Linked DNA regions of Macaca mulatta. The protein of the gene in region 2 interacts with the protein of the main gene of each other region in a pairwise test. Links are inferred from orthologs where the notes say so. Each region holds a gene or a part of one and is shown on either strand. Other genes may lie near its edges.

Region 1 (7,331 bases), on a different chromosome or scaffold from region 2:
AGTGATCCGCCTGTCTCGGCCTCCCAAAGTGCTGGGATTACAGGCTTGAGCCACCGCGCCCGGCAGCGCTGCCCATCTTGGGCATGGTTTTAGGTTCTTGTTTACCTAGATGAATCCTCCTGAAGACCTTAGGGGCTGGCCACAATGACGTCCTCAGCTAAGACAGGCGGGCACAGAAAGCAAGAGTCCTTGCTCAAGACCTCACAGCTGTGGAGGCCAAGCTGGAATTACCCGCTGCAGCTCATCTCCAGGCTGCGGTCTACTAACCAGTCACCAGCCCAGTGTGAACCCCGACTTCCTCCACCAGTCACCCTCCCTGGGGCTGCCCATAGAACAGCTTCTTCCATGTTTGGCCAGCAGCAGATAGCCTAGGACTGAAGCAAGCCTTGTTCTCTGAAGTAGTGGTGCTAGCTTTCCGTAGCACTCAGTCTGAGCAGGAAGCAAATGGCAAGCAAGGCGGTTGGGAGGCCCTACCCTCAATCTGAGGGGAACATACCAGGTCCCTCCCAGCAAGAATGTCTCACCTTGACACAGCCCAGCTTCCCTTCCCTCCGCCCTACACCCTAGGATAAGACAGGACAAAGAACTGGCTGAGCACAGGGGATTTTATTGATGGTACACGACAAGGTGGGGCTCCCTAGGCCCCTCCCCTCTTCAAGGGGTCTACATGGAAACTGAGGGGAGATTCAGTGTGGCGGGGGACTGAGTGTGGCAGGGACTCCCCAGCAGTGAGGGCCTCTCTCTCCCTCTTGTGCTCTCGCTGGGGCTGGTGGTCCGGGGGTCTTACTCCTTGGAGGCCATGTGGGCCATGAGGTCCACCACCCTGTTGCTGTAGCCAAATTCGTTGTCATACCTAGAAGATGAAAAGAGTCGTTAGGGCCCTTTTTCTGAGCCAGTCACCAGAGGGCGCCAGACTCTGCACCACTTTTTAAGAGCCTGTCTCTGGCCCCAGCCACATACCAGGAAATGAGCTTGACAAAGTGGTCGTTGAGGGCAATGCCAGCCCCAGCGTCGAAGGTGGAAGAGTGGGTGTCGCTGTTGAAGTCGGAGGAGACCACCTGGTGCTCAGTGTAGCCCAGGATGCCCTTGAGGGGGCCCTCCGACGCCTGCTTCACTACCTTCTTGATGTCATCGTACTTGGCAGGTTTTTCCAGACGGCAGGTCAGGTCCACCACTGACACGTTGGCAGTGGGGACACGGAAGGCCATGCCAGTGAGCTTCCCGTTCAGCTCAGGGATGACCTTGCCCACAGCCTTGGCAGCGCCAGTAGAGGCAGGGATGATGTTCTGGAGAGCTCCGCGGCCATCACGCCACAGTTTCCCGGAGGGGCCATCCACAGTCTTCTGGGTGGCAGTGATGGCGTGGACTGTGGTCTGGAAAAGGAGGGAGTGAGGCCCTGCAGAGTGCTCCCCACATCACCACCCCTCTACCTCCCTCCCCACCTTGAAAGGAAATTATGGGAGAGCCAGTCCCCAGAAGGCCCAGCCCCCAGGGTTGCATGCAGGCCTGGCCGGGAGGAGGAGCCAGCCCTGCATGAGAAAGGCAGCAGCCTCAGTCCCATTCCCCAGCTCTCATACCATGAGTCCTTCCACGATACCAAAGTTGTCATGGATGACCTTGGCCAAGGGTGCTAAGCAGTTGGTGGTGCAGGAGGCGTTGCTGCAAACAAAGAGGGGGCGCAAGTCAGGGGAGCGTGTCCACAGGGTGCCAGGCTGGCCGCTTCTCCACTGGCCCTGCCTTCCTCACCTGACGATCTTGAGGCTGTTGTCATACTTCTCATGGTTCACACCCATGACGAACATGGGGGCGTCAGCAGAGGGGGCAGAGATGATGACCCTTTTGGCTCCCCCCTGCAAATGAGCCTACAGCAGAGAAGTAGACAGTTATAAACCCGGGTTCTGCCTCTGCAGGGCTGAGCCAGCTTCCCCTACCGCGGGCCCTCCTGCACTCACCCCAGCCTTCTCCGTGGTGGTGAAGACGCCAGTGGACTCCACGACGTACTCAGCGCCAGCATCGCCCCACTTGATTTTGGAGGGATCTCGCCTATGGGGTGGGGGAGACAGGGATAGGACATATTGAGGGACACGAGGTTACCATGTACCCAAGGGAGCCGCACCACCCTAGCTGCCCCCCACAGCACATTTCTCCCACTGCCTTCCACTCACTCCTGGAAGATGGTGATGGGGCTTCCATTGATGACGAGCTTCCCGTTCTCAGCCTTCACGGTGCCATGGAACTTGCCATGGGTGGAATCATACTGGAACATGTAAACCTGGGGGAATACGCAAGGGTGTGAAGGGGCTGCCTGGCAGCCAGGTGGCTCCTCCCACATCAGCTTTGGGGCAGCACTCACCATGTAGTTGAGGTCAATGAAGGGGTCATTGATGGCAACAATATCCACTTTACCAGAGTTAAAAGCAGCCCTGGTGACCAGGCGCCCAATACGACCAAATCTAAGAGACAAGAGGCAAGAAGGCATGAGGAGGGGAGGCTTCTCCACAGTATGTGAGCTGCCCTAGGACACCTCTCCATTAAGAGGGCGAATGCAGCATCTCCTTACCCCCAACATCTCCTTACCTCCATTAAGAGGTGAATTGTATCTCCCTTGAGCTCCCCTGCCAGGCTGGCCTGGCTTTACGGCATGGCTGCAACTGAAGGCTCCACTGCTGCCTAACACCCCCCGTCATAGGAAGCCCTTCCAGGAGAAGCGGCCATGTGGGGCACTGCCACCCACAGTCTGGGCACAAGCTTTGCACGTGGCATTCAGCACCTCACTATGCCACCCCAGGAATGCTTGCTGCTGCCTAGCTCAGCCTCAAACTGCACCGTTTAAGGAGAAAAGATTTGTACACTCAGCATCACCAAACTCAAAGGGCAGGAATAAAGGTCAGAAATTAATTGGACAGGGCAAGCCCACCCCTTCTCTAAGACCCGCCTACAAAAGGGACAGAGATTGGGCCGGGGGAAGAGGGGAAGTTGTTTTTTAACCCCCTAGTCCCAGGGCTTTAATTTGCAAGCTTCTAGTCCTTTCCTAGCTCTTTTCCAGAATTCAGGAGTGGGAGCACAGGTGTGTGCATGTGTGTGGGAGAAGGGATGGGAGACGGCCCAAGCCCAGGCCCCCAGTTACAGAAAGGTCAGCAGCTATATTTATCCTCAGACCAGGGTGCGGTGGGAGATCTGGTTTCTGGAAGACGGAATGGGGAGAAGGGCAGGTTTCCCGAGGCTCCCAGACACCCAATCCTCCGGGTGACATTTACAGCCTGGCCTTTGGGGTGGGGTCAACGCTAGGCTGGCAGGGGAAGAGGGGGGCCATAAGGTGAGCCGCCGCTGCAGAAAGGGGCCACCGCCAGAGGGGCCATTTTGCGGTGGAAATGTCCTTTTCCAACTACCGATGACTCAGCTCCCCCCGGCTTGGCACCAAGCCACAGCCACCACACCTCTGGAGGGAGGGGACACAGGAGGACCTCCATAAACCCACTTCTTTGATTTACCAGAGAATTATCTAGAAAAAGCATCACCCGGAGGGGAAATAGGGCTTGCAGCTCAGGGGCCGACTTGAGAGCAGGGGCCGGGAAGCCTCGCTCCACCTGACTTCCCCGCCACACGCGACTCCACCCACCGAGGCAGGAGCGCAGGGTTAGTCACCGGCAGGGTTTCCTAACGGCGGCCCATTCATTTCCTTCCCGGTTGCAACATGGCGGCCGCTCTACCGCAGGCGCAGCCTCCGGACTGGGATGCACCCGCTGCGCACTAGCATCCCGGGGCCTGCGGTGCCGGAGGCCATGGGGGAGGGGCTCCTCTGCGACACGTGACCTCGCAGAGCGCGAAAGGAAAGAAAGCGTCCCCAGCTAGGGGTCCGGGTCGGATGGAATCTCGGGCGGGAGTAGGGACCTCCTGTTCCTGGGGACTAGGGAAGGCAGGCCCCGGGCAGATGGCGCCGCAAGGGCGGAGCTGCACAGGGCGCCACAGCCTGGGTGCGGGGCTCCGCCAGGTCCGAGCGCTGACCTTGAGCTCTCCTTGCCGGACGCAGCTACCCTACCCCATACGACAGCAAAGACCCGGAGCCCGCAAGGCTCGTAGACGCAGTTTGCGGGCGGCCCAGGGCCCCCCAGCCACCCACGAACTCACCCGTTGACTCCGACCTTCACCTTCCCCATGGTGTCTCAGGGATGCGCTGCGCGGAGAGAGAGAACAGTGAGCGCCTAGTGGTCCCGGTCGACACCCACGCCTCCCCTCCCCTCCCCTCCCCCCACCAGCCTCCATGCCCAGCCCGCGCCGCATCACGTCCTCCGCCCGCCCCTGCAATGCGGAGGCAGCCCGGGCCCGGACCCGGACCCTGGCCCGCGCCCACCCCGCAGCGGCGCGAACACGTCCGGCCCACGCCCGCTCCTGCCGCCTTCAGGCCCGTCCCTAGCCTCCGGGCTCCTCTCCGCCCGTCTTCACCTGGCGATGCAAGAGAAAATGCGGCTGACTCTCGAACAGGAGGAGCAGAGAGCGCAGGGGGAGGCTGCGGGCTCAATTTATAGAAACCCGGGGGCGCGGCGGCAGGCGGTGACTCTGACCCCGCCTCCCGCCGGGCTCAGCCAGTCCCAGTCCAAGGACTTGAGGCCTGAGCTACGTGCGCCCGTAAAACCGCGAGTAGCGGGGCCCTGCTTTCTCCCTGCTCTTTTTTTTTTTCCGCAGCCGCCTAGTTCAACTGGGCACGCATCAAGCGTGTGGGCCCCGACGGAGGGGGGAAGGGACTGAGACTGGCCCGATGGGAGGTGATCGGTGCTGCTTCCCAGGACTGGAGTGTGGGCAGCAGGAGACTAGGGAGTCAAGGACGGGGGCCCTTACACGCACGGATGAAACAGGACTTTGGGAGCGACTGAGATGGGGAATTGGAGCCCGAGCCCTGCACGGCTCGCGGCTGCACGCGGCCTGCCCCCTCCCCTTTCTTTCAAAGGCTGAGAGGCGGGAAAGTTGGGGAACTTCTCCTCGAGGCTCTGCGGTAGTGACACCGGAATAGCTGAAGCAAAGGGCTAGGAGGGGCCCGTGGGCCCTTCCCAGCCCCCACTTCCCCCTCCCCATCTCCTGGCTCCTGGCCTCTCTGGGACCGAGGCCTGGCCTGGGCACTGGGCAGTGGGGGCCTGGAGAGGAAGGAGGCTCGGGAGGCGGCTTGAGGGGGAGGTTTCTACACGGAAGGTCACGATGTCCTGCAGCCCTGTAGCTTGGACCTGATGATTAGGGCAGACAATCCAGGCCCTGTGTGCACCAGCGGCTCTCCCCGGGCTGGGGCCCCAGGCGGAGGACAGGATGGCTGGTGGGGGCCCAGAGGCCTCCCACAAAGTCACTCCTGGAGCCCCGTGGGCTGTGCTGCCTAGGGTGAGAGACAGTGTGCTTTTCACTCCATCCAGCCCGGGGCGAAGAGCGGGACGTGAGGGCGGAAGTGCCTCCCCGCCCTGGGACGTGCAGGCGAGCCAGGAGCCAGGGACTCCCCTTCACTGGCTTCGCTGGGGGATATTGAGGGCAGGGTGAGTCAAGAAGAGGGAAAAAGTGGGAAAAGAGGTCTTGGGCACATGGTGGGAACAGGCCCCCTGCCCCTTCCCACAGGGTATCCATTTCTCTGGTAGGAGGGCAGAGGGCCAGGTTTGTGAGTGTGGGATGGGAGCGTGCTGAACACTTGTAAGGAAGGGGGTGGGGTGGGGTGGCCTTGGCCCATCAGCAGGTGCATGGGAGGGGGATCCTGGGCCTCTTTGCTGGCCCAGCATAACCTGACACCAGCCCCCTGCCCTTCTAGCTAAAAGCCGTTTGCTAAGTTTAGCCCGCCTGGTGATAATCTTTGCTTAAAAGGCACCCACAGGACTCCAGTCCTTGTCCCTGTCTTTCTGGGATTGCCTTTCCTCCTGGGACCCAGAACCAGGCTGTGTCCTCGTCTGGCTGCCATTGGCATGGTTGGTGCGGGCTTTTCACAATGACCACCCAGAGCAGAGTAGCAAGAGCAAGGCAAGAGGGTCCTTAATGGTGGAAGGGTGGGGTGGGGGAGTGGAGGAAGCCCCACCTCTGACTCAGCTATTCCTGCAACCAGGACCATTAACCCTTTCCCATCCAGAGCGTTAAGAGCACCTCCATGCTCCTGCACCACCAAGCGTGATTTGGGGGCGCCATCTTCCCCTCTGCCTCATGCTTGTCATTTTTCATTACTGTCTTCTCCCCGCTAAGAGGGAGCTCGGTGCCCAGGGAGCACTAGTGACGTAGTGTGCTGTTGTCATGACAGCAGAGGCACCAGTGTGGTCACGACAGCCAGCTCACAGCCTCCGGTTCTAAGGTGACTCAGCAGAGACGACTTGAGGAGCTGGAGAGGGGTGGGCAGGCTTCAGGGGCAGCCCGCTTGCAGCATAGCCTGCGCCCCCTGCAGACCTGGGACCAGTGAGGAATGCGGGAGACAGACCTTGTCTCCTGCAGAGCTGGAGGGGATCATGACCTGACCTGCCACCAGCCTGGCCCAGTCCGCTGCCAGCCTTTGGAGATGGGATTAGGGAACACGAGTGGGGGTGGGGTGAGGCACACAAAGGAAAGCAACCCTTGGTCTAGAGCAGGTTTTCTCAACTGCGACACTATTGACATTTTGGGCTGTGTAATTCTTTGTTGAGGGGCTGCCCTGTGCACTGTAGGCTGTTTAGCAACATCCCTGGCCTCTGCCCACCAATGCTGGTAGCATTCTTCCCCCACAGGCTATGACAACAGAAAAGGCCCCAGGTGTTGTCAAATGTCCTCTGGCAGGCAAAATTGCCCCCGTTCAGAAGCGCTGATCTGGAGTCGAGGCACTGCATAATTCTCCCGAGGCTGGCTGGTCACTGTGCAGGGTCCGGAGGTTGAGAGGGGAAAGGTGGCAGTGACAGGGCAGGAAGCTCATCTGCCATCCTGGGACAGGCCCTAGTTCTCTGGGCTCGCTCATCTCTCTCTGCACTGATAACCCTCTCTCTGCTGCATGAATCTGGGCTAATGTGAAAGATGAAACAAAGACAAGCTTAGGAAAAAATGTCTAAAAGTATATAAAAACATTTATTCATTAGAAAACAAGGAGATTGGCAAACATATTCCAAAGTGAAAGCAGCTCAATGCAGTTCAATTAGGCTAATTTAAGAGAAAGGCCTTGCATTTTAAAGATCGTGTATGTACTTTTTTTTTGAGACGGAGTTTCACTCTTGTTGCCCAGGCTGGAGTGCAGTAGGGTGATCTCGGCTCACTGCAACCTCTGCCTCCCAGGTTCAAGCGATTCTCCTGCCTCACCCTCCCGAGTTGCTGGGATTACAGGTGTGCGCCATCACGCCTGGCTAATTTTTAATTTT
Region 2 (6,615 bases):
AGAAAAAATTAGCCGGGCGTGGTGTCGGGCGCCTGTAGTCCCAGCTACTGTGGAGGCTGAGGCAGGAGAATGGCGTGAACCCGAGAGGGGGAGCTTGCAGTGAGCCGAGATCGTGCCACTGCACTCCTGCCTGGGTGACAGAGTAAGGCTCTGTCTCAAAAAAAAACACACACACACACACACAACAAATATACTGGGTTAATTTGTCTCATTCCTCTTCCCCCCGGCCCCCCAGACTCACCTTGTCACCCAGGCTGGAGTGCAGTGGCACGATCTCCACTCACTGCAAGCTCCGCCTCCCGGGTTCACGCCATTCTCCTGCCTCAGCCTCCACAGTAGCTGGGACTACTGCGCCAGCCACCACACCCGGTTAATTTTTTGTATTTTTAGCAGACACGGGGTTTCACCGTGTTAGCCAGGATGGTCTCGATTTCCTGACCTTGTGATCCGCCCGCCTCGGCCTTCCAAAGTGCTGGGATTATAGGTGTGAGCCACCGTGGCTGGCCTTTTTTCTTTTTCTTTTTTTTTTGAGGCGAAGTCTCGCTCCGTCGCCCAGGCTGGAGTGCAGTGGCCAGATCTCGGCTCACTGCAAGCTCCGCCTCCCAGGTTCACGCCATTCTCTTGCCTCAACCTCCTGAGTAGCTGGGACTACAGACGCCCGCCACCTCGCCCGGCTAGTTTTTTGTGTCTTTTAGTAGAGACAGGGTTTCACCGTGTTAGCCAGGATGATCTCGATCTCCTGACCTTGTGATCCACCCGTCTCGGCCTCCCAAAGTGCTGGGATTACAGGCTTGAGCCATCGTGCCCGGCCCTTTTTTTTTTTCTTTTTTTAAAGAGGAAGTTTCGCCCTTGTTGCCCAGACTGGAGTGCAGTGGTGTGATCTCAGCTCATTATAACGTCTGCCTCCCGTGTTCAAGTGATTCTCCTGCCTCAGCCTCCTAAGTAGCTGGGATTACCGGTGCCTGCCACCACAACTGGTAAATTTTTGTATTTTTAGTAGAGATGGGGTTTCACCATGTTCGCCAGACTGGTCTGGAACTTCTGACCTCAGGTGATCTGCCAGTCTAGGCCTCCCAAAGTGCTGGGATTAGAGGTGTGAGGCACCACACCTGGCCTAGTTTTTTCAACAGAATAGAACATATCAGAGTGGAACACTGTAAGCATAAGGATTATTTAATGAAGTTATTTTACATACTGTGTGTGTAGATGCATATATAAAATGTTTCTTATTGTAGGTCTTGTTAAAAAAGTTGTATAGCCATCACTCTAATGCAGCAGTTTTCAATTAGAGGTGCTTTTGTCCTTCAGAGGACATTTGACAATGTCTAGAGATACTTTTGTCACTTAGGGGGTGCTGCTAGCATCTAGTGGGGTGGAGACAGGATGCTGCTAACCATTCTACTGTGCGCAGCACGGCCCCACAGCAAACTCCAGTAGTGCTGCTGGTGAGAAACTGATTTAGTGGAAGAGACAGGCACGTAACGCATGAACGAGAACAAGGAAGAGAATTACAGGGCAGGTGGAAAGTGAGCTTGGTTGGGAGAGGGAAAGGTGGGGGAACCACAGTTACTGACTCGCCAGCTGTACTGGGCACTGTCCTGAGTAGAGAAATATTTCTGTTATATGTATTTGTGTAAGGTAGTACGTGAAATCTTTAAAATAGCACTGGAAGGGGGAGGCATTATCCCAACCTATGAATGCACAAGCCAGGATTTTGAGTGTTTAACATACCTGAGGTCACTTAGAAAGTTGTGAGCTGGGGCCGGGCGTGGTGTCTCGTGGCTGTAACCCCAGCACTCGGGGAAGACAGAGGCAGGAGGATCGCTTAAGCCCAGTAGTGGGCAAAAAAGTGAGACCCTGTCTCTAAAATTGTAAGCTGGGGTTGATGTGTTAACCATTACCCTGAAATATGTTGGGTCAAAGAATTTGGTTGGTCAGTAGACAAGTTGAGTGTCCCAGTGGAAGGAGGAGGTGAGGAAGTTGAAAGTGCTAAAGAAACAAGCCCAGGAGCTCCACTGTGGGATTTCTGTGGGATTTTGGCTGCCTGGGAAAGGGAAGTGGGAATCAAAGACAGCAACTGATAAAGTGGGAGAAGACGTAAAAAGCTCAAGAGTCTGATGTCTTAGATGAGATACATGCATTAAAAAAGAAAAAGTGGCGAGGCGTGGTGGCTCATGCCTGTAACCCCAGCACTTTGGGAGGCCAAGGTGGGTGGGTCACACCTGAGGTCAGGAGTTCGAGAGCAGCCTGACCAACATGGTGAAACCCCGTCTCTACTAAAAATACAAAAATTAGCCAGGCATGGTGGCACGTGCCTGTAATCCCAGCTGTTCAGGAGGCTGAGACAGGAGAATTGCTTGAACCCAGGAGGCGGAGGTTGCAGTGAGCCAAGATCGAGCCACTACACCCCATCCAGCCTTGGCAATGAGTGCGAAACTCTGAATCAAAGAAGGAAAAAGTAAAAGAGTCCAGGTGTCTTGATGAGTCCATAAATAGAAATTACAAGAGAAGAGGAACTGAAAAAGGAAGCCATGGGCCCAGAGTGGAGTGTTACAATTCAGACTGCTAGTATAGGGCAGCGCGGTCATGGGTGTGGACAAGTGGAAGTCTTGGAGTAGAGAGCCAAGAGCTTGTCGAATGGAACACGGCCACACCATACCTTGGTGTGATCTCAGGTATCGGATGGGTTTGCTGTAGACATTGAGTGAATCTGGGAGAAGGGTGTAGAGATCTACTGAAGACAGAAGCTGAGAAATAGAATGTAGAATATCAGCTTGTGAGGAGGAAGGATTTGGAGTAATAGGAGAGCAGTCATTGACTGTGCAAGGAGCTAGGAGAACTTAGAAATCTTCCTTTTCCTAGACCAGTCTCTGTTGGAAAAGCCGTCAGGGCGGTGGTTTATTCAGAAAATGATTTTGCTTGGGATAAGGATGTGATTATAGAAGAAAAAGTGAGAGAATGTTTTACAGTGAAACGGAGGTTCCGGGGGCATGGAGAGGAACGAAAGGTTCAGCAATAGTGCATGAGTTAATAGCAAATAGGAAGCAAGCTGGGGATGTGCGTCCAGAGGTGGTGTACGCGTTCAGCATTATCAGTGGATAGAGATGGTGGCAATAGCTACTTTGGTAGATAGGTTTTTGGTGTCTTAACTAGTTACAGATCTCTGCCATTTAAGGAATTGCCTGGTGACTGTTAGGAATGTGAGTGCTGAAGGCAAACTGCCTGGGTTTAAATTTTGATTTTGTCCCTTGCAACTGGCCTGAGTTCAAATCCTAGCTCTGCTTATTAAATTCTTTTAAGTTGATCTTAGAACAATGTGTTTACATTGCTACCTTGTGGAAGAAGTTAATTCATGTAATTGACCAGCATTTATCAAGAAGCATCAGTGTTTTAGTCATTGGTAATTCTGTAACTGGACTGAGAAGGGAGTGTGGGGGCTGGCGTATGTGCGCCTGCATGTGTGTATGTAACAATAGCATGCAGAAAGGAAAAGATGCTTTTTATAACCTAGAGGCAGCTTTTCTCTGCTTTTGTGTCAAGAAGGAAGAAGGGAGTTGGGAGGTGGTTATTAATTCTTTTTAATACTAAGCTCTCCTCCTAAAAACCAGAGATAGAATGTGTAATAATTTGTAGAATTTCTAGACTTAATCAGATTTTTTAAAAAAATTTATTTTTATTTTTTCAGGTTGAGACTGAGCTAAAGTTAATCTGTTGTGACATTCTGGATGTACTGGACAAACACCTCATTCCAGCAGCTAACACTGGCGAGTCCAAGGTTTTCTATTATAAAATGTAGGTTCTATACTAGAAGGGAAAATGTAAGATTGAAAGTTGGTCCTTTTAGAATTACAACTTTTTTCTATGTGGGTTTTCAACTTTTATTTAAGAATAATTGTTCAATGTTAGAAGGATAGTTAATATTGGAATAAAAAGATGGACTATTATAAAAATGTAAAATTTTTAATAGTTACTCGTAGAAAACATAATTTTATATTTTCTGTTTTAGCATAAACAAGTTTCAGTCTTACTAATGTGTGTTAAACTGTTCTCCCATTTATACTTCAGATTGTTCCCAGCTTTTGCTTATTTTATATTCTTTGTTTTTGTGAGACCTATCCCATTCCCTTCCCCCAAGCGGCATACATTTCACAGTGCTTAGTGTTTTATATAGAAATTTTATTTTATTTTTAATAAACAGTCATGCCATTCCTTGGAACCACTTGCTTAATTCTGGTTTATTAGGTGATAATTTTGTTAATTTTTAGAGGCTCCTCAGTTAATTTCCTTGGGATTTTTGCTTATATTTAGTAATATGAAATGTCTAAGGAAAAACACAAAAGGAAGCCAATTATTCCTGAGGGTATTTAAAATTATTGAAGTATACCTGCTAATTGTTACATATATTTTTGTCGCATATTTTATATAATATAGAACAATTTTAGCTTATTTTCCTTTAAAAATCGTCATTCCTGGTTTAAAATTTTTTTTTTTTTAATTTTGGTTTTGTTTTAGGAAAGGGGACTACCACAGGTATCTGGCAGAATTTGCCACAGGAAATGACAGGAAGGAGGCTGCGGAGAACAGCCTAGTGGCTTATAAAGCTGCTAGTGATATTGCAATGACAGAACTTCCACCAACGCATCCTATTCGCTTAGGTCTTGCTCTCAATTTTTCCGTATTCTACTACGAAATTCTTAATTCCCCTGACCGTGCCTGCAGGTAAGTTGTGGGGAAGAAAAAAGCTCTCAGCTTGAAAGTTAAGGGGTAGCCGGGCGTGGTGGCTCAAGCCTGTAATCCCAGCACTTTGGGAGGCCGAGACGGGCGGATCACGAGGTCAGGAGATCGAGACCATCCTGGCTAACACGGTGAAACCCTGTCTCTACTAAAAAATACAAAAAACTAGCCGGGCGAGGTGGCGGGCGCCTGTAGTCCCAGCTACTCGGGAGGCTGAGGCAGGAGAATGGCGTAAACCCGGGAGGCGGAGCTTGCAGTGAGCCGAGATCGCGCCACTGCACTCCAGCCTGGGTGACAGAGCGAGACTCCGTCTCAAAAAAAAAAAAAAAAAAAAAAAAGAAAGAAAGTTAAGGGGTAGCTATTTGGATTTTCCGTATTGTTTCTTGGGCCTGCCTTTGTAGACTTGGCTGCGTATTGATTCTTTTGACTCTTACTGAAACTACTTTGGATAGTATTAAAACAGACCTATCTCAACCCACTAGCGTAGCAGTCAGGGTAAGTATTTTTATGTGGGATATTTTGGTAGATTGAAATCTAACGTGTTAAAATGAGTAGAGGAAGGGCCAGGCGCGGTGGCTCAAGCCTGTAATCCCAGCACTTTGGGAGGCCGAGATGGGCGGATCACGAGGTCAGGAGATCGAGACCATCCTGGCTAACACAGTGAAACCCCCTCTCTACTAAAAATACAAAAACTTAGCCGGGCGAGGTGGCAGGTGCCTGTAGTCCCAGCTACTGGGGAGGCTGAGGCAGGAGAATGGCGTAAACCCAGGAGGTGGAGCTTGCAGTGAGCTGAGATCCGGCCACTGCACCCCAGTCTGGGTGACAGAGCGAGACTCTGTCTCAAAAAAAAAAACAAAAATGAGTAGAGGAAGGAAATGAGAGGAATTATAAGATAGAATTATTTTAATTTTATATATTAGTTTTCAGTCTTTTTTTAAAATTTGAGACGATGTCTCACTTTGTCTTCCAGGCTAGAGTGCAGTGACGCCATCTCAGATCACTGCAACCTCCACCTCCTGGGTTCAAGTGATTCTTCTGCCTCAGCCTCCTGAGTTACTGGAGTTACAGGGGCCTGCCAACATGCCCATCTAACTTTTTTTGTGTTTTTAGTAGAGACAGGGTTTCACCGTGTTGGCTAGGCTGGTCTGGAACTCCTGACCTCAAGTGATCCGCCTGCCTTGGCCTCCCAAAGTGTTGAAAGTACAAGCGTGAGCCACCACACCCAGCCAGTTTTCTGTCTTTATGGGCATGTTTTTAATAGTTACTCTCGTCGAAAACATAATTTTATATTTTCTGTTTTAGCATAAACAAGTTTCAGTCTTACTAATGTGTGTTACACTGTTCCCCCATTTATACTTCAGCTTGTTCCCAGGTTTTGATAATGTAGATACAAATGTAAGGAATATTTGTATGTACATAGCTTTTTACTTTTAAAAAGTTGTGATAGCCTCGGCGCGGTGGCTCACACCTGTAATCCCAGCACTTTGGGAGGCTGAGGCGGGTGGATCACCTGAGATCAGGAGTTCGAAACCAATCTGACCAATATGGCAAAACTCTGTCTCAACTAAGAATACAAAATTAGCCGGGTATGGTGGTGCATGCCTGTAATCCCAGCTATTCGGGAGGCTGAGACAGGAGAATCGTTTGAACCCAGAAGGCAGAGGTTGCAGTGAGCCTTGATTACACCAGTACACTCTAGCCTGGGTGACAAAGCAAGACTTTGTTTCAAAAAATACACACGCGCGCACACACACACACACAATTTAGTGGCACCAAATACCTTGACAGTGTTGTGTAATCACCACTATTTATTTGAAAACTTTCTCTTCACCCCACACAAAGCAAATTACAGCCATTAAACAAACAATAACTTCATTTCCC
Region 3 (7,408 bases), about 3.6 Mb from region 2:
ACAACGAAACTTAATCTGACTCCACTGGACATGATCCAGGTGACTGCAGCTAATACACAGTGCAAAGCATTCTGCAGATGCTAGCTCAGGGACCTGTCCAACAAGCCAGGAGGTGCATCTGATCATTAGCATCTCCCAGATGAACATACGAAGCTGAAGGACAGAATCACTGCCCCAAAGTCACAGTTTGTAACCAGCAGAGCCAGGATTAGATCCCAGGCTGTCTGATTTCAGCAATGGCCCTCAGCAGTCTGAACCGCTCTCAGCCCCGCCACCAGGACCCGGGCTTACCTCCACAGAGTAGGATAGCTGAGCACTCTGGTTCTCACTAACGCGAGAGAAGAGGTCCTCACAGAGCTGGAGGGGGACACAGGGAAATACAGAGAAGCTCCTAGTTTAGGGCACACCTAAAGTATCCAGCCACAGGCCAGGCCCAGTCCCAAGTGACCCCATTTAACCCTTGCCGCAGCCCTGAGGGAGGGGTTATTCCCATTTCACAGATGGGAAAACAACCTCAGAGAGGTTCCCACTTGCCCAAGAACACAGGCTAGCGTTCAGCCAGCCAGGGCGCAAACCCCAGGCGTCCTGACTCCCAAGCCTGTGTGCCAGGTTGCTATGCTGGACAGCCAGGGACAATTATGGTTAACTCTGTTATCGCAATTGGCGTTTCTACAGTTAACACTCTGCGATGGTACACAAGCCTGCAGGAGAACCATCCTCATAAATTATTATGAAACTAAGTAAAACAGTAATAAGTGGTAACACTGGCGCTCGAACCCAAGACTCACTGATGCCAAAACCTTGCTCTTCTCAATGAGGCTCGTTGCCTCCAATAGGGACAAAGACCCTCCCACCCCAAAGGGTTGTCCAGCTTGAGTCAACCTCTATCTCCCATCACCAGTGGCCTCAGAGCCAGGTCTCTCTGTTCCACAATCCTCAGACCCCGGTCCTTCCTTCCTCAGGGGGCAGCTAAAGATGTTCCTGCCCTGGCTGCCCCACCAGGTCCTAGGTGTACCTGGGGCACGATGCCCTGCTGCCCTGGCTCCTGCCGCCCCATCATGGTATAGGATTTCCCAGCCCCGGTCTGCCCATAGGCAAAGATGCACACGTTGTAGCCTTCAAAGGCGTGGAGCAGCATCTCTTCTCCAATGTCCCGATACACTTGCTGCTGAGATGCAAACTGGGGGTCCTCCGCCTAGGACAAAGCGGGGGCAGAGAAAAACAGAAGGAACCCTGGATGTCTTTATCTTTTGTGTCTGTCCCAACAGTCTTGCTTCCAGAACTGATGATTCTCCAAAGGTCCTATGTGCCCTCCCACCCTCATCATTGTCCTAATCACCCCGAGGATCCTATCCAGCCCCTGCTAGTCCTAATTACCCCAAGGGATTCTGCCTTCTTGTCATGGCCTCAATCACAGCCTAAGGGTCCTACCACCCCCATCCAGGATCATCCTCCCAATCAGCCTGAATAATCCCCTGGGGGTCCTATTTCTCAACATGTCCCCTCCCCAGGACCTAAATCCACTGTCTCTCACTGCCCTGCTCTTCCCCCAGCCCAACAACCCACCGAAGTGTGTGACCAGTAGGAGTAGTCAAAGGTGAAGCTTTTGGGGGCATCTTTGCTCTGTTTAGGATTGATGATGGCTGAGGAGCAGGAGGGGGTAAAGGAAGGAAAGTCAAGGTCAGGTACTCCCAGCCCCTGCCCATACCCCCACCAGCCCCTGGAATCCAAGCATCCCACTCCTCACCACTGCCCTGACTCATCTCTCCCCTTTAATATTCCCCACCCCCTCCAGCCACCAAAGCTAATTTTGGCTTCCTAGGACCCGCCCCCACTGAGCTGCCTCCCTGGATTGGGCAATGGAGGGCTCCAGGCCAACATTCCCCCTCCCAGAAGACTGGGAACACGGGAAAGGCCAGCCTGCCCCAGCCCCCGCCCTCACGACTAGCACCTGCCCTGTGCCCGGCACAGACCTCCTCTTAGTTTGGCCCAGCGGGACTGGCCTGTGTGGTGGGCCCGGCCTTCCCTGTCTGTGCCCAGCCAGGCCCCGGGGACTCACTCACAGGTGGTGTTGCCCTGCATGCTGACCACACACTTGGCATCCTGGCTGGTCTCACGGGCGTTAAAGGGCCGAACCCTCACTGCTACTTTCACCGAGGCACCAGCCATGGCTTCAGACACTCCTGCCCTCCTCAGCTGGAGGACAGAGAAAGGAGTGGTGGGGTCAGAGCCACTGGGGGGACCCAGACATTGCCTCCCAGCTTCTTCCCAGAACCAGTCTCTTCACATCTCCCCCAGAGCCACCCAGCCTCTCAAGCACCCAGCTCTTATTCCCCTGGCTTTCCTCCCAAATGTCACTGTCTTGAGAGACTCCCAAAGGTATTTCTGCCTCTCTCCCCAGCCATATTCCACCTTGCAGGAACCTGGGCGGTCTCCCCCAGAGTTACCTGGCGTCCTGGCTCCAGACCAGGGGGGCTGTATCAGTTCTCGCTGCCACTGGCCCTCGTAGGGGGAGCCCCATCCTACTACTGGGACCTGGCCACACCAGCTGGGGCTCTGGGAGACACCCTGGTTGTGGGGGAAGAGTTGTTAGGAGGCACCTGTGGCTCGAGACCTGTCTGGGGTTCCCAGGTTGGAGGGCCACGGTTAGGGGGGAATAGTACAAAACGTTATGGACAGCTGCCCCTCTGGAGTGGCAGAATGCAATGTGAATCCAAGGGCAAGGACGGTGATATTTTTATTCCTCATCACTCGCAAGTGTACTGAACGTTCAGATAGAGGAGAGAGAGAGAAAGAGGCTGGACAGAGGGCAATTCAGAGAGGGGCACATGGGCAGAGACGTGAGGGTGGCGGGAAGAGAGAGACGAGGGGTAGAGAGTCACAGACACCAAGAAAATGAGAGAAATAAGACAAAAGGCAAGCCTGAGGTCATGCTATGAAGGAAAGAATGGGAGAGGAAAGGAGAAAGAGACACAGCACAGCAAACACAAGCTGTTAAAGAGGCAGGAACTCCGGGGCCAAAGCACAAACTGGGAGCCCAGAAGAGAGATCAGAAGAAACTGCAAATGCAAAACCTGTCCTGAAATTCCCCACAGGGTCGGCAAGGGAGAATCCAGTTTCCACCTAAGGCCCACAACCTCCACACACCAGGCCGGCAGTGCGGATGGGCAAAGTCCAAGGACTGTAGATAGGGCCCAGGACTGGGATCCACAGGGCCGGCTGTGTGGGCTTTAAGCCCCTTGCCCAGCCCCCAGCACTTCCTCCTCAGGATCCAGGACAATGGGCAGGGGAGGGTGGGGTCATCCTGTAGCCATCAGACCAACCCTCAGGGCTCCACCCTTGGGGTGCCCAGAAATACCTGTGTTTGAGGGTAGAGGGTCCCTGGGGCCTCCCTGAAAGGGAGAAAGAAAAGCAAAAGGAAGCCGGCTGGCCAGTGCCAGCCCCAGCCTGGGGCTAGTGCTATGGCGTCCACTGCCCTGGGGAAGGTGCCAGGCTGGAGCCCAGGAATGTGGGTGATCGGGTGCCCACACCCTGTGAGGAGAGGCTGAGCAGCCCACGCCCACGGACAACAGGGAGGAGAACCACGAAGAGGAATAAGGGATGCTAAGCCCCCTCCTGTGACCCCAGTGGGCCCCAAACTCCTGTCACACTGGGCCTCCCCCTCACCAGCCTTCCTGGGCAGAGCATGGGAGGGTGAGGGGCTGGTCTGTCCCAGGACAGGAAGGGAGTAGCTGGAATCACAGAAGCTGGCTCAGGAAGAACAGCCCTGACCCCCTAGACCCTGACCAGGGGAGGGAAGGACACTGGTGGGGACAAGCCATGGTGACGCCGTTGCTGCAGCTAATGGGACAGGGAATGGGGTGGCATGGCTGGGGGCCAGCAGGGTAAGGGAACAGAGGTAGGGACAGGGGTCAGCCGGTGCAGCTGTTAAGGAGCCGTGGGGTACAAGGAGGATACTGGGCGGCTGGGTGGGGCCGCCCGACCCGAAAGGGAGTCTTGGGCCACCTGCACCTTGCCCACCCGGCAGTTCTCACACATGTCCCCGCCCGGCCTCTCTGGGCGGCCATGCGGACCGGTCCTCCTGTCTAGCCCTAAGCCGGCGGCCGCCCGGGCCTGGCACCTCTCTGCGCCTCCGCGGAACAAACAGCACATGATCCCGGCTCTCGAGCCTAGATCGCGCCGCCGGACCCCGGCTCCCCGCCCCCCAACCCGGCACATTCCTCCGCGGGCGTCCCTTCCCTCCCCCTTGCCCAGCCCTCACCTCGGCGCGGCGGGGCTCCCGGAGTGGCTCGGCGGAGAAGGACAAGCTTTCCGGGAAGCGTGAGGCGGCGGCGGGAAGGATCGGGGGCCGGTTCGGAGCTGCCCCCGCCCCTCGCCGGGTCCCCGGGCGGCGGGCGGCGGACTCGCGCCCCGGGGGCGGCAGCAGTAGCGGCGCCAGCGGCCGGCGCCCGCCCGGGCAGCGCGAGCTGGGGCGGGAGCGAGGGGCGGGGGACGCGCGGGCGCGCGCGGAGAGGCGGGCGCGCGCCGTCCTGGGAAGGAGCCGGGAGCGACCCGGGTTACTCTTGTTAAAGGGGCAACGCTCCCGGCCTGTGGGGCCCAGCGTGCAGGGACGCGGGGACCGAGCTGCGGACGCAGAAGGGCGAGCAGACGCCGCAACCCAGGAGGGTTGCAGACGCCTGAGGAGCAGGGAAACGTCGGGGGCTGACCCGCGGGGGCACCCAGGCCCCGGCCCAGCTCATGTCGCCGCCGTTGGAGGCGCGTCCAGGGGGCGGAGCCTCCTACCGAGGCCCGCCCAGAAGGCGGCTCCGCTCAGGCCCCGCCCCCAGGCGAGCACCGCCCGCCGGCTCCTCCCGCGGCTCGAATCGCCGTCTCTCTCCTCCCCGCCCCGCCGAGTTCTAGAATTCGCCGCGCAGCTGCTTCAGGTGCTGGGGCCAAGTGCGGCCGGCCGTGGCGCGGCTACTCGGGTGCTCTATCCCCGCCTGGCCCTCAAGTTCGGCCGCCCCGGACGCCGCCTCAGGCCCAAACAACCCCTTCAGGCCCGGGTGCCGCCTAAGGCCGGGGCTGCCCCCTCAGACGCGGGGCTCCCCTCAGGCCCCAGCCTGCCGCTCAGCCTGGGACCACCACCCCAGGGCCCCTCTCGGGGCTGGGCTGCCCGGAAGGTCCGGCCACGCCCGGTCCACCTGTCGAGGGTCCCGGTCGCCCTTTCAGGCGCCCGCCGCGCTCTCCGGCCCGGCGCTTCCCTCCAGCGGGGCTCCAGGCTCCAGGCAGCCCCTCAGCCCCAGCCTGACTCTCGGGTCCTCATCCACCCTTGCAGGCCCGGGCTGTGGCTACCCCGAAGTCAACTGTGGAGGATCCTTCCTGGCTTCCTTCAGCTCCATCCTGCCCTTGGATCTAGGTCACCCGCTTGGGCGCCACTTATCTGAGGCCGGAATGCCCCGCAGCTCCCGCTGACCCCCCCGCCCCCCGCGTTCTGCTGACCCCCCTCCGAGTCAGGACATCCCCTTTAGACCCCACTTTAGGCCCTTTCAGCTCAACTCCAACCTTTGACCTCCCTCCGCCTTTGACCTCACCTGCTTTCTCAGCCCATCCCTACTTCCCTTGGATAAATGCTAGTTCACCCCTACGTTCTAGCTTGCTGCTTCTGTCCTTCAGGAGCCTACAGGCACTGTCTCCTAACTTATCTAGTTTTTGTTTTGTTTTGTTTTGTTTTTTTGAGACGGATTCTTGCTTTGTTGCCCAGGCTGGAGTTCAGTGGCGCGACCTCGGCTCATGGCAACCTCCGCCTCCTGGGTTCAAGCAATTATCCTGACTCAGCCTTCTGAATAGCTGGGATTACAGGTGCACACCACCACACCCGGCTAATTTTTATAATTTTAGTAGAGACAGGGTTTCACTGTGTTGGTCAGGCTGGTCTCAAACTCCTGACCTCAAGTGATCCGCCCACCTTGGCCTCCCAAAGTACTGGGATTACAGTCTTGAGCCACCGCGCCTGGCTTTTTTTTTTTTTCCTTCTTCTTCTTAGAGACAGGGTTTCACTCTGACGCCCAGGCTGGAGTGCAGTGGTGCGATCTCACCTCACTGCAGCCTTGACCTCCCGGGGCTCAGATGATACTCCCACCTCAGCCTCCCAGATACAAGCGCACACCACCACACTTGCCTAAATTTTTTTGTATTTTTGTAGAGAGGGGGTTTTGCCATGTTACCCAGGCTGTTCTCAAACTCCTGGGCTCAAGTGATCCACCCACTTCCACCTCCCAAATCGCTGGGATTACAGGCGTGAGCCACCGTCCCCAGCCTTAACTGCCCTTTCTCCCCACCCCAACTGGCCTTCAGGTCATCTTTGGCTGTCCCTCATTTTAGCTATATGCAACTGACCTCCCTGCTTACCTTCCTATCCACAGGCATTCCCAACTGCCCCCTCCTTCCCTGTCACCAGTTGACCATTATGTCCACACCTAACTTTTAAAAATTTATTTACTTTTTTTTTTTTTTTTTTTTTTTGAGACGGAGTCTTGCTCTGCCGCCCGGGCTGGAGTGCAGTGGCCGGATCTCAGCTCAGTGCAAGCTCCGCCTCCTGGGTTCACGCCATTCTCCTGCCTCAGCCTCCCGAGTAGCTGGGACTACAGGTGCCCGCCACCTCGCCCGGCTAGTTTTTTGTGTTTTTTAGTAGAGACGGGGTTTCACCGTGTTAGCCAGGATGGTCTCGATCTCCTGAGCTCGTGATCCGCCCGTCTCGGCCTCCCAAAGTGCTGGGATTACAGGCTTGAGCCACCGCGCCCGGCCTAAAAATTTATTTACTTTTGAGACAGAGTTTCACTCTTGTTGCCCAGGCTGGAGTGTAATGGCATGATCTCTACTCACCACAACCTCTGCCTCCCCGATTCAAGCGATTCTCCTGCCTCAGCCTCCTGAGTAGCTGGAATTACAGACACCCACCACCACCCAGCTAATTTTTGTATTTTTTAGTAGAGAGAGGGTTTCTCCATGTTGGTCAGACTGGTCTCGAACTCCCAACCTCAGGTGATCCACCCGCCTCGGCCTCCCAGAGTGCTGGGATTACAGGCATGAGCCACCACACCCGGCCAACTTTTTTTTTTTTTTTTTTTTTTTTTTTTTTTTTTTTTTGAGACGGAGTCTCGCTCTGTCGCCCATTCTGGAGTGCAGTGGCGTGATCTCGGCTCACTGCAAGCTCCACCTCCCGGGTTCATGCCATTCTCCTGCCTCAGCCTCCAGAGTAGCTGGGACTACAGGCGCCCGCCACCGCGCCCGGCAAATGTTTTGTATTTTGTAGTAGAGACGGGGTTTCACCGTGTTAGCCAGGATGGTCTCGATCTCCTGACCTCGTGATCCACCCGCCTCGGCCTCCCAAAGTGCTGGGATTACAGGCGTGAGCCACGGCGCCCGGCCT

What was found. The genes of interacting proteins can lie anywhere in the genome.
Region 1: the proteins of YWHAE (region 2) and GAPDH interact in a two-hybrid assay, tested with the Homo sapiens proteins (2 studies listed by BioGRID and IntAct, with this or other methods). The link is inferred for Macaca mulatta from reciprocal best matches to the Homo sapiens genes YWHAE and GAPDH.
Region 3: the proteins of YWHAE (region 2) and KIF1C interact in binary tests that used the Homo sapiens proteins (3 or more experiments, as listed by UniProt). The link is inferred for Macaca mulatta from reciprocal best matches to the Homo sapiens genes YWHAE and KIF1C.

The regions. Positions count from the first base shown.
Region 1 is NC_133416.1:7,482,956-7,490,286, reverse strand, and holds GAPDH (glyceraldehyde-3-phosphate dehydrogenase), read right to left. Parts: upstream 4,487-7,331; 5' UTR 4,444-4,486; exon of another isoform or gene 4,352-4,443; intron 4,175-4,351; 5' UTR 4,158-4,174; coding exon 4,129-4,157; intron 2,454-4,128; coding exon 2,354-2,453; exon of another isoform or gene 2,331-2,353; intron 2,273-2,330; coding exon 2,166-2,272; intron 2,044-2,165; coding exon 1,953-2,043; intron 1,863-1,952; coding exon 1,747-1,862; intron 1,660-1,746; coding exon 1,578-1,659; intron 1,374-1,577; coding exon 961-1,373; intron 854-960; coding exon 784-853; 3' UTR 746-783; downstream 1-745. UniProt on the Homo sapiens protein: Has both glyceraldehyde-3-phosphate dehydrogenase and nitrosylase activities, thereby playing a role in glycolysis and nuclear functions, respectively.
Region 2 is NC_133421.1:2,900,761-2,907,375, reverse strand, and holds part of YWHAE (14-3-3 protein epsilon), read left to right. Parts: intron 1-3,685; coding exon 3,686-3,792; intron 3,793-4,512; coding exon 4,513-4,719; intron 4,720-6,615. UniProt on the Homo sapiens protein: Adapter protein implicated in the regulation of a large spectrum of both general and specialized signaling pathways. Binds to a large number of partners, usually by recognition of a phosphoserine or phosphothreonine motif.
Region 3 is NC_133421.1:6,548,122-6,555,529, reverse strand, and holds the start of KIF1C (kinesin-like protein KIF1C), read right to left. Parts: upstream 4,487-7,408; 5' UTR 4,262-4,486; intron 2,569-4,261; 5' UTR 2,448-2,568; intron 2,197-2,447; 5' UTR 2,170-2,196; coding exon 2,064-2,169; intron 1,644-2,063; coding exon 1,567-1,643; intron 1,196-1,566; coding exon 1,016-1,195; intron 358-1,015; coding exon 292-357; intron 1-291. UniProt on the Homo sapiens protein: Motor required for the retrograde transport of Golgi vesicles to the endoplasmic reticulum. Has a microtubule plus end-directed motility.